Linked DNA regions of Macaca mulatta. The protein of the gene in region 2 purifies or fractionates together with the protein of the main gene of each other region. This does not show direct contact. Links are inferred from orthologs where the notes say so. Each region holds a gene or a part of one and is shown on either strand. Other genes may lie near its edges.

Region 1 (6,155 bases), on a different chromosome or scaffold from region 2:
CCCCTTGGGAACCCAGGGAATCAGTAGTTCCTGCTCCCACAGGGACCACCCCCTCCAAATCCAGAGCTCACTGTCCCTCACAGGGACCCAGGCCCCCAACTCCCGCCCAGACTGGGCTGCAGTACCACATAATCCCCGAAGTCCCTGCCCCATTCGGATATATCCCAGCCTTCCACCAGCCCCTCAGGGTGCCAGGGATATGACCTCCGGCTGTTCACACACCAGTACCAACAGCCCCAGTTCCATTTAAAAGTGACAGCCTTTGACAACCCCTTCCAGGGACCCCAGAGCCCCATCGCTCTCTTGGGAACCTAGGTGTTCACCCCATTATCCTCACCCTTCTAGAGAGTCCAGATCACAAGGTCTCCTGCAAGGCCCAGGATCCTTTGGAACCCAGGTGACCAAGCCACCAGCTTCATGGACCCTCACATCCCCTCCAAAAAGCTCCCGGTCCTTCTCAGGGCAGGAAGCTCCATGCTACTTCCACCTCAGCCCCAATTTGGCTCTAGACCCAGAAGGGGGGCTGAAGCCCCTGAGACATCAATCTGGGGGTGGGGGATGTACTGACTTCCACCCTCCCCCCAAAATTAAAGCCACCCTTCCCAGCCCACCCGCCCCAGCCTCCGTGTCCCGGTAACCAGGCAACGTGTGTGCAGCGACAGTCCTGGGAGCGGGGGAGCAGGAGGCTAAAAATAAACTTTGCAGAAGAGAGGGAGTGAAAGAGACTACACGCAACACAAAGGGAACTCGGAAAGGAGGTGGGGGGGCTCTGGAAAGGCCTCAAGCCGCATTCTGGGAGCTGTCCCAGGCCCCCTTGTTAAACCCCTTCCCTGAGCAACCCCTCCTCCAGGGCCTGGACCCTGGCTCCCACTTCTGGCAGGGACCCATCCCCACTCCCAGGCCCACCCCAACGACGGCTTTCCTCATCGGACACAGCATACATGAGGGCCTGTTCCCGGCTGTGGTGGGGAGAATGAAGAGGGGGTGAAGTCAGGGTGTCTCAATGGGGCTCTGTTCCCCAGGCCTTGGAGCCAGGAGCCAGGCACGGGCAAGGGGAGCATGTGTGAGTGTGCTGTGTATGCGTCCACGTGCTTAAAACAGGGAAACACCAGACCTGCATGGAGGAAGCTTGGGGGTGCGGAACCTCGGGAACATGGGGGCCAGTGAGGCAGGGAGAGCTGGCACATGGAGAGAGGGGTTCAGGAAACTGCGAGACAGGGTGCAGAAGTGGCAGCAGACAGACAGTAAGGGCTGGGATGGCGAGGTCCCAGAAGCACACCTGGGTCCTACAGAGGTAGGGTAGGGATTCTCCCCGACAAACTATGCAAGCCTGGGGGGACGAAACTCCCGGGCACCCCCCAACCTCACGTGACGGCCCAAACTTTTTTTAAGGGGGTCGGAAGGGAGGAGTGGTGGTAGAGGAAGAACACGCCGGCCTCCTGGGGGGCCCCACCACCTCCCCCACTCCAGGCGGCCCTCTATGGCGCCAGAGCCGGGAAGAAAACAGGAAGTGGGAAACAGCCACGGCAGAGGAGAGAGGGGCCGGGATGGAGGATTGGATGGAGGGGTGCGGAGCTGCAGGCTAGGAGGCAGACGGGAAAGATGCACCGATCGGAGGCCATTCCAGGCCTCCCGCCCCTCCCCTCCCCCAGCTGGAGAACCCACACACTGTTCGGCCCCCAGACAGGGTTGGGGAAGCGACCTGCAGGTCCTATCAGGCCAAGGCCGGTAGCAGGCAAGGAAGATGAGGCGAGGTTGTCTGGGCGCCTCGGCCGCCTTCTCGGGCGAGGGGAGGCTCCTGCTGCCCCCAGGGCCCAGCGGCCCGGGAGCTACTGGAAGCCGGGGCAGTGTGTGGGACGCACGTGACTGACCCTACCGCACTCCGCACCCCGGCCCCACCCCCAGGGCCCCTCCTCGGTCCGGGTCCCAATCCCCAGGCGCCGGAGCCCAGCTCGGAGCCCTTTAAGATTAAGCCGCCCCCACCCGCCGAGCAGGGGGATGGGGATGGGAATGGGGTGGGAATGGGGTGGGGATGGGATGGGGTGGGGTGGGGATGGGGTAGGGTGGGGATGGGGTGGGGTGGGTGGGCCGGTCGGGGCACACACCCGCACACAGGAGCCCGAGCCGCCGCCGCCGCCGCCGCCGCCGGGGGAAGGAAACAAGTTTGAACAGCGGCGCCCGGCCCCCTTCCCCCTCCCCCGTCCCCGCCCCGGGCCGGATTCCGACGGGGTAGACGGGCAGGGGGCGGCTGGGACCCCTCCCCCTGCGCGCTTGGGCGCAAAGTCCAGCCCGCGCGAGCCCGGGGGCGGCGGGGGAGGGGAGGGGGAAAAGTCCGAGTGGGAGGGGGGTTAATCCCGCTGCCCCCCGCCCGCCGGCCGAGGGGGAGGGGAACCTTGGCCCCTTAAGGAGGAGCAAGTTGGCGGGGAAGAGAAGGGCGGAGGGAAGAGACGGCCCGCTGAAAGAGAAGAGGTGGATCCGGGAGGGGGGGCGAGGGGGGAGTCTCTGCGTCTCCCCCCACCTTCCCCACCCTGCTCAACCCCGGGCCCCCGGTGGCGCGGGAGGAGGGTACCCAGGTCTCCCCGGAGCCACCTTAAAGCCGCGCGTTCTAAGGTCGGAAACAAAAAGTTCCTTTTTCGAACGTTCGGGCTGCGCTTTGGAACTTTGCGACTCGGCGAGGGCGGGGGAGCGAGGAGCCGACAGAGGCGGGCGGGGGAGGGGCGGCGCAGCCCGGACCCCGAGTCCCGGGCTCCCCACTCACGCCCTCCTCCTAGAGGCCATCCCGTATCCCCCGCTAACCTGGTGCAGGGCACGCGCCGCCGTGAAGGTCACCAACCGGACCGCGCAGCGCAGAACCAGGGATAGCGGGCCCGGTGGACGAACCCCCCCGCCCCGCACACGTCCCGGCCCCCAGAGTGCAACGTGACAAGAGCGGAGGGGAAGGACCCCGCCACCCCCGTGATCCCGGGAGTGGGGAGAGCCCGGCCTGCGGGGTCCCGGTACGGATACAGAACCAAGACCCGCAGCACCCACACTACTCCGCCCGGAGCTAGGAATCGGGGGTCCCAGGCAGCAACCCCGCTCGCGCCACGAGAAGCAACAGGTCTCGAGTGCTTGAGGGGTCCCCCAGAACTGGGGATCACTTGGGCTCCCCCGGACCCCTTCAGCCCCCCCAAAGTTTCTCCGTTCGGTTTCCCGGGGCAACAAGTCTCCCCCACACGTGCTGCCCCCGCCCCCACCTGTGTCCGCCGGGGTCTTCATGCTGGGGGGCCCGGGGCGAAGCGCCCCGACTCCGGGCCGCGGCTCCCGGCGCCCGCGCTGCCCCGTCCCGTCCCGCGCCCGTCGGGCCGCCCTTGCCGCCTCACCCGGCCTCGCCTCTCAGAGCCTCTCCCCTCCCCGCCGCCGCCTCCCGGGTTAATATCGCACTCCGGGGCCGGGACGCCCACGCCCCCCGGCCGGCGACGTCACCGCCGCGTCGCCATGGAGACACTGCGCCCGCCCCCTCCCCGCGCACTCACACACACGCTCGCCGGCGCGCAGCCACTGAGGACCGGCCGGCTCCGGGCTTAAAGGGGCCGCGCGGCGGGGGAGGGAGGAAGGAGGGGGCGGGGGTGGAATGGGGTCCCGCGGGTCATGACCGTAGTCCGAAGCTCCGAGTCTGCAGATAACTTAAGTCCTCCGCACTCGCTACCTGCTGCCCCTCCTCCTCTTCTGCCCGCTGCGGGCTCCAGAGTTTCTTTTGGGAGCCTGTATGGGAAAACGGGGGGCCCTTCCGAGGAAGCGGGGGGTCAGAAACTTTTGTGGGGAGGGGGCAGAATCTTCTCTGCAGAGGGACGGGGTCAGGACCTTAGAGGATGATCAAGACGACGGCATTACCAGCTTGGTTTTACCCAGCCCCCCCAACCCTGAGCCTGAATGGGGGCAGCTGTCCAGGGGTGGGGTGGAATGGGTGGGATGCATTTCCCAGCATCGGAAATGGGGAGGCGACTGTGCCCTCCGCTCCTGTGGGGATGGGGTCTTGGCCTTCCTGATAGCCCTAGTCCAGCTGGGGAGGAAGTGACCAGAGAGAATGCATTTGGAAGCCCCCGCCACCACCGTCCCCAGGCTGCAGCTGTCCCGGGGACAGGGCTGGCGCCGGAGGTCCCCCCACCTCCACTACTAGGACCGGGGGTTCCGGAGGCGAGGCCAGGATACGAGGGGGCGACCAAAGTCTGAACAAATGTGCTCCCAAGGGGCACTGAGGGTCGCCAGGAGAGAGGAAGACAGGGCTTAAGATCGAAAGCCAGAGCGTAGGGAAGTGTTAAGTCTCCGTTCTCTGCCTCAGCCGGGAGGGAAGGATGAAGCCTGAGGCTCTGGGAAACAGGAAATCACAGTGCAGATCTGATGGAGCCCAGGAGCCGGCAGCAGGGTAGAGGCCAAATAGAAGCAATATTCACAGGCATAGCCTGGAAACAGGGTCTCAAAAAAGATTCTGAGGTTCCAAAGAAGGGCGTATGGATGGCGGGCGGGAGTTGGGGGGGCTGGGTGGGGGACAAATCCAGAAGATGGGCGGGGAGACACATAAAAGTCACACACAGGGAAGGCCTGCGGAGCTCAGGCTCCCGGTACCTAGGGCTTCAATCCCAGCCTCCTTGCTTGCGGGGTACCTAGTCCGCCTTAGACAGGTTCCTCACTGGTGCCTCAAAAAAAAAATCTCAGGCCTCCTCCTTGGGGAGACCAAGGGCTCCAGGGAAGCTTTCCCCCACAACCCCCGGGGAATTATGTAACCTTGCCTACGGACAGTACAGCTCCCCCACGGATATTGTAACCCTCTGGGAGCGGTGTGGTCCAGCAATAATAATCATCATCATTGTTCGAATAACAGCTCCCAAATTCCGAGTGTTCATGATGTGCCAGGCACTGGGCCAGGCATTGTCAGGGGCATCTTCTCATTTAATCCTCACAAAATCCCAACGAGGGGAATTACTGTTGTTATCCCCATTTACAGATAAAGTGATGCTCTCTGAGGGAAAATCAGTCCACTAAATCTTACAGCCAGGAAGTATTGGAACTGAGATTCGAACCCAGATCTAACCAATTCTAAATCACCACACTTACCATTTACCATTATGCTTTATTACCTCTTTTACTACCCCCTTCAAAAAAAAAAAAGGCAGATTTTCAAAGATATTACATCAGGGCCCGGTAATCCTAGCACTTTGGGAGCCAAGGTGGGAGTTGGCTGACTTCAGGTCAGGAGTTCCAGACCAGCCTGGCCAACATGGTGAAACCCCATCTCTGCTAAAAATACAGAAATTTCCCAAGCATGATCGCGCGGCTATAATCCCGGCTACTCAGGAGGCTGACGAAGGAGAATCACTTGAACCCAAGAGGCGGAGGCTGTAGTAAACCGAGATCGCTCCACTGCACTCCCCCTGGGGCAACAGCAAAACTCCGTCTAAAAATGAATAGGCTGGGCGCGGTGGCTCACGCCTGTAATCCCAGAACTTGGGGAGGCCGAGGCGGTCGGATCACAAGGTCAGGAGATGGAGACCATCATGGCTAACACGGTGAAACCTAAAACCGTCTCTACTAAAAATATAGAAAATTAGCCGGGCGCGGTGGCAGGCGCCTGTAGTCCCTTCTACTTGGGAGGCTGAGGCAGGAGAATGGCGTGAAACCGGGAGGCGGAGCCTGCAGTGAGCCGAGATCGCGCCACTGCACTCCAGCCTGGGCGACAGAGCGAGACTCCGTCTGAAAAAAAATAAAAATAAAATAAAATAAACAAATAAATAAAAAGGTCAGGCGCGGTGGCTCACGCCTGTAATCTCAGCACTTTGGGAGGCTGACGCGGGTGGATCACCTGAGGTCAGTAGTTCGAGACCAGCCTGACCAACCTGGAGAAACCCCATCTCTACTAAAAATACAAAAAATTAGCCGGTCGTGGTGGCGCATGTCTGTAATCCCAGCTACTCGGGAGGCTGAGGTAGAATCGCTTGAACCCGGGAGGCAGGGGTTGCAGTGAGCAGAGATTGCGCCATTGCACTGGAGCCTGGACAATGAGAGCAAAATTCAGTTTCAAAAAAAAAAAAAAAAAGATAACACATCAGTAACAAACCCAGTGACCCCTACCCTCCCACCACCAAGACAGAGATCTGATTTACACCCAACCTTTGCTA
Region 2 (5,495 bases):
GGGTCCTGGCATCCTTGTCAAAATTCAGTTGACCAGAGATATACGGGCTTATTTACTGACTCTCGCTTCTATTCCACTGACCTATATGTCTATTCTCATGCCAGTAGCACACTGTCTTGATTACTGTGTTTTGCAGCAAGTTTTGAAATCAGGAAGTGTATCAGTCCTCCATATGAATTTCCATATGAAGTTTAGGATCAGCCTGTCAATTTCTATAGAAAAAAAACAGCTGGGGCTTTGATAGGGATTGCACTAAATCTGCAGATCAATTTGGAGAATACTGCCATCTTAACAGTATTAAGTCTTATGATCCACGGACATGGGATATCTTCCCATTTATTTAGGTCTTCTTGAATTCCTGTGCATTTTTTTAGACTGAATCGACATCGCTCTATCACATCTAAGATATCCATAAATTTCCCTCCTTGTTTACCTGCGACTCCCATTAAAATAGAAATACGTAAATGCTGCACATTTTCAGGAGAACTCTGAGGACTGTAAAGAATTTGAGGTTTTCTTATTTAGTTGGAATGCCATATTAGGTATTAAAGTCAGTGAGGTTAAGTTTCACGCTGCTATCTTTTGAATAAAATGTATTGAAGAAAAATGTTACCAACGAAACAGATGATTTTAAAACTAATACATAATGTACATGATCCTGTTTACCTACATAAAGTATAAAAGTACACATGTATGTAAGAGCATAGAAAATACTTTGGGAGAAAATACACCAATTTGTTTTTTGTTTGTTTTTTGAGGACGGAGTTTTGCTCTGTCACTCAGGCTGGTGTGCAGTGGTGTGATCTCGGCTCCCTGCAACCTCCGCCTCCCAGGTTCAAGCGGTTCTCCTGCCTCAGTTCCCATGTAGCTGGGATTACAGGCGCGTGCCACCATGCCCAGCTGATTTTTGTATTTTTAGTAGAAATGGGGTTTCGCTATGTTGGCCAGGCTGGTCTCGAACTCCTGACCTCAGGTGCTCCACCCACCTCGGCCTCCCAAGGTGCTAGGATTACAGGCGTGAGCCACTGCAAACGGCCACCAATTTGTTACAGTAGTTAGTTATCTTGGCCTGGTGCTGTGGCCCATGTATGTAATCCCAGCACTTTGGGAGGCCGAGAAAGGAGGACTGCTTGAGCCCAGGAGTTCAGACCAGGCTGGGCAACATACTAAGACTCTATCTTAAAAAAAAAAAAGAAAAAAAAAAGTATCTCTGGGGAAAAAGGAGCAATGGGATAAGGAAGAAGAGGACTATCACTCTACTAGCATTTTTGCCATAAAAATGTTTTTGGGCATTTCTAGTGTCATTTAAAATACGATAATGACAAATATAACTACGCTTCAGTGAAAGAGTTTTTCAATATATATCAGCTTAATAGTTAATAACCTGGCTGACCTTGAGATCACAGGTGGTGTTGAGCAGCAGGTTGGAAGGCTTGAGGTCACGGTGCAGAACGTTAGCTGAATGGATATATTTTAACCCTCTGAGGATCTGGTAAAGAAAATAGCAGATATGGTCGTTGCTGAGGTGTTGTGTCTTCAAGAGCTTGTAAAGATCTGTTTCCATGAGGTCTTGTACTATATATCTGTTTGCAATGGTTAAGTAAAACACCAATTAGCTGGTCATATTTAGCAAAGCGTTGAAAACAAAAATGCGTCCTCTCTTGACTCTCTTCCCAAACAGTCCATTATTACACTATGAGGCCCTTAAAGGAAAGAAAAACCTGAGGAAAACTTGGTTTCTTTCATGGAAGGAACCTGAAGTCGTTAACTTCTTTTCGGTCCTGTGAGATGGCAAGAATTACGGCATTACATCTGACTGATGCAGCTATGGGCCTAGACTGAGATCTGAAACAGGCTGTTACAGAAATTCTGGTCAATCTTCAAGTCTCAACCTCTTTGTTCTCTAAATTGTCCACCATCAACGAACCCCCTCCAAGGTTTGTTGGAAATACTGGTGGCCTGTAAGTAGCACATATTCCCTCCTCTGTTTGGTCCAGTAACCTGTAATGTCACTATTCTTTTTCCTTCTTGTTGCCGCTCCCCTCCTTTCCCAAGTTCCTCAAAAGCCAAACATAAAACTTCCAGAAATACAGGTCTAGAAACATACCCTTACTAGTAAATCCAACCCTAAGTCTATCTATTTTCTTACTCTCCCATAACTGTTAAGATCCTAAATAAGACTATGGGCAAGTCGTGCTAAGAAGGGGTTTGTGCGTGTTTTGCTCCTCTTGCTTTCTTGCCTGGTCACTTATTTAACTACCTAAAACTTCAGCTATGGCTACTTTCTTTCTTTCTTTTTTTTTTTTTTTTTTTTTTTTTTGAGACGGAGTCTCACGCTGTTGCCCAGGCTGGAGTGCAGTGGCGCGATCTCGGCTCACTGTAAGCTCCGCCTCCTGGGTTCACGCCATTCTCCTGCCTCAGCCTCCTGAGTAGCTGGGACTACAGGCGCCCGCCACCGCGCCCGGCTAATTTTTTGTATTTTTAGTAGAGACGGGGTTTCACCGTGGTCTCGATCTCCTGACCTTGTGATCCGCCCGCCTCGGCCTCCCAAAGTGCTGGGATTACAGGCTTGAGCCACCGCGCCCGGCTGGCTACTTTCTTTCTAACAGAAATTAAATTATTAAAGCATTTAGCCTTTAACTTCATCATAGTATTATTTCATTAGCAGTATTTCTGCATTTTTTTTACTCTCTCTGTGTAAATAATATTCTCTGTTTCTTACAGATTTATGCTAGAGGCGGCGCAGCATGGGATTCAAAGGAAACATGATTTTAAAATCTGTCATTTGAGAGAGGCTTATTTTCATGGCAAAAGTAAAGTAGGACCAACAGGTGGTAGTGGCAGGAGGCATTTCACTTCAAATATCACTACAACTTATTAACAGAGCTGTTTAAAAATGGAAAGGGCTGCCTAGAGACAGCGAGCTCCCGCACCCTGGAGGGTGGAATACAAATTGGGTAAACTGGTAGGAGTGCTGTATAACCCTCTCCCTTCTGGCAGATCCTCTTCAGTATACTTAACCTCTCTATCTTTCAAATGGAGTCTTTGCCCAGGCAGCATCCTCTAGACCTATTCAGTCCAGATATCTAAATGTTGGTCATAGTTAATCACATAATTTCAGAGCCCAGTTGACCTTAAAGATCATGACAACTAGTTCCTTCATTTTAAAGGAGGGGAAACTGAGACCTAAAGTGGTGACCTGATTCTAAGATCAGGACAGTCCTAATTTCACCCAGTAGATAGCCAGGGCACCCTCTTTCTTAGTCTACTACTGATCTTCCCTTTACCTTTTCATCATCACAACAAACCATCTCTTAGACAGAAAAAAACATGACTGCAAATGGAGTTAACCAAGATTTTCCATGACTAGACTTAGGGAGTAAATGGCAAACAGATGACGATTTTCCCTTTAGCATGTTTAAAGCACTTTTCCTTTAAGTTTAGGAAATTTCAAGTTCTATTTACTCAACAAAGTTACCAAGCAGTGGAATTGGCTAGTTGCCTAAAAAGGATACACATCTTTCATTTGCTCGATGGTTGGTGCTCGAATAATGTCATTGATTCCAATGATGTTCTCATGTCTGAAGCGCAGTAAGATTTTTATCTCCCGCAGGGTTCTCTGGCAGTAGGTCTGGTGCTCAAAGGGGCTGATTTTCTTGATAGCTACTCGAACTTTGTTGACATTATCATAAGCAGAGCTTAAAAGAGAGAGAAAGACAGATGGCATTAAAAACAGCCCTCAGAATAGTTGAAGAATGCAAACTGGCAAAGTATTATATTTTTAACACTCTGTGTAAACACCTGTTTCATACCTGTGAAGGTAGCATGTATATTATCCACAAAAAGGCCTCAAGCTAGGGAGGATGGATGCAACTGACATGAGATAGCATACAGCGACTCTCAAAACTAAGACAGAACCTAGACCTGTTAACTGGGTGAATGTGTATTTTCATAAACCCAGAAATACACAAACAAGCATTTTCCCATTGTCTTAAACGGCAACTGCATTCTGGTGAGAATAATCACTTCTGCCTCCAAAACACCTTCCTACTGTTGTATCAAATTCCTCTGACACAGAAGAGACATTCAAATAACCGACAACAGTACATCTTTATCCCTAACAAAAATGGACCCAAGAGAACACCTTGATGATTTGTATCAACTTTGTTTCTCTCACTTGCAAAATGACATGACCATTTCTTCCAAGAAACTGAATCAAGATGTTTGGGTAGTTTTATAAGAAAACCTAGAAAGTATTATTCGAAAAACACATCTGCGGCAGCAACATGGGGCCCAGTTCTTTCCAAGTTGTCCTTAATGTCTAATATACCAGAATTCTAAGTAAAAGCAATAATAAAAATTATACCTTCAATTTTATGAATTTGAATCTTGAGAATTACTACTATCTTTATGATAAACATTCTATTAAAATCTTGTGTATAAGAAATTTTCATACTAATAAATGTCAACATCTGGCCCACTGACCAAAGCAATAAAATAACACTGACAGGCAATAAGACAACATTTCTTGTTTCCTTGGGATAAGTGCTAGAACAGAAAACAGTAAAATAACTTTATTCTAAAGTTTACGCTTCTAAGGCCGGGTGCAGTGGCTCACGCCTGCAATCCCAGCACTTTGGGAAGCTGAGGCGGGCGGATCACTAGAGGACAGGAGTTTTGAGACCAGCCTGGATGACATGGTGAAACTCTGCCTCTACTAAAAATACAAAAAAATTAGCCAGGCATGGTGGCACACACCTGTAATCCCAGCTACCTGGGAGACTGAGGCACAAGAATCACTTGAACCTGGGAGATGGAGGTGGCAGTAAGCCAAGATTGTACCACTGCACTCCAGCCTGGGCAACAGAGTGAGACTCTGTCTCTAAATAAAGTTTATGCTTCTATAATAATATTTATCAGTCTACTAATCCAAAGAATTATTGATATATTTATCTGATTCTATGACAAGATAATGCTCTAGAGGGGAACTTTGTCTTACTAGGATCCAATTATCCTACAACACCATTAACACACAGTACACAGGTGGCCCCAAATGCTCTGAAATATAATATATTTTCTTAAGTAAAAGAACCACTACTCAAATCTTATTTTGCTTTGGTTTGGTGCATGAGGCCCTAAGCCAGTAATTTTCAACTAGACAGGCAACAGCATACATAATAATAATAATTTAACATAGCATTAAAAAGCATATATAATAAGCAAGCTTATTCAATATTGGGAATATTTTTAGAAATAAAAATTCTATTTTGGTAATTCAACCCATAGAACAAGAGTTCAACGACAGGACAGATTAGTTACAAAATACTGGTTTAAACTCAACATTACAACTTTCTAGTGTTAATATTATAAAGTTCTAGTGTTAACAGTCAAATGTGGCCATAATTTGCTCTGCAAAATTATAATCCAACAAAATTTTTGGAGAGAGGAGCTTATGGTCTGTGTGTCCCTCTACTGTATCAACACTCAGTGACGAA

Evidence for each region. The genes of interacting proteins can lie anywhere in the genome.
Region 1: the proteins of MAPK1 (region 2) and ERF purify together in Homo sapiens (co-immunoprecipitation; 3 studies listed by BioGRID and IntAct, with this or other methods). This does not show direct contact. The link is inferred for Macaca mulatta from reciprocal best matches to the Homo sapiens genes MAPK1 and ERF.

Annotation. Positions count from the first base shown.
Region 1 is NC_133424.1:53,307,306-53,313,460, forward strand, and holds the start of ERF (ETS domain-containing transcription factor ERF), read right to left. Parts: upstream 3,388-6,155; 5' UTR 3,259-3,387; coding exon 3,237-3,258; intron 3,154-3,236; exon of another isoform or gene 2,797-3,153; intron 2,493-2,796; exon of another isoform or gene 338-2,492; intron 1-337. UniProt on the Homo sapiens protein: Potent transcriptional repressor that binds to the H1 element of the Ets2 promoter. May regulate other genes involved in cellular proliferation.
Region 2 is NC_133415.1:31,182,008-31,187,502, reverse strand, and holds part of MAPK1 (mitogen-activated protein kinase 1), read right to left. Parts: intron 3,699-5,495; coding exon 3,516-3,698; intron 1,584-3,515; coding exon 1,394-1,583; intron 549-1,393; exon of another isoform or gene 1-548. UniProt on the Homo sapiens protein: Serine/threonine kinase which acts as an essential component of the MAP kinase signal transduction pathway. MAPK1/ERK2 and MAPK3/ERK1 are the 2 MAPKs which play an important role in the MAPK/ERK cascade.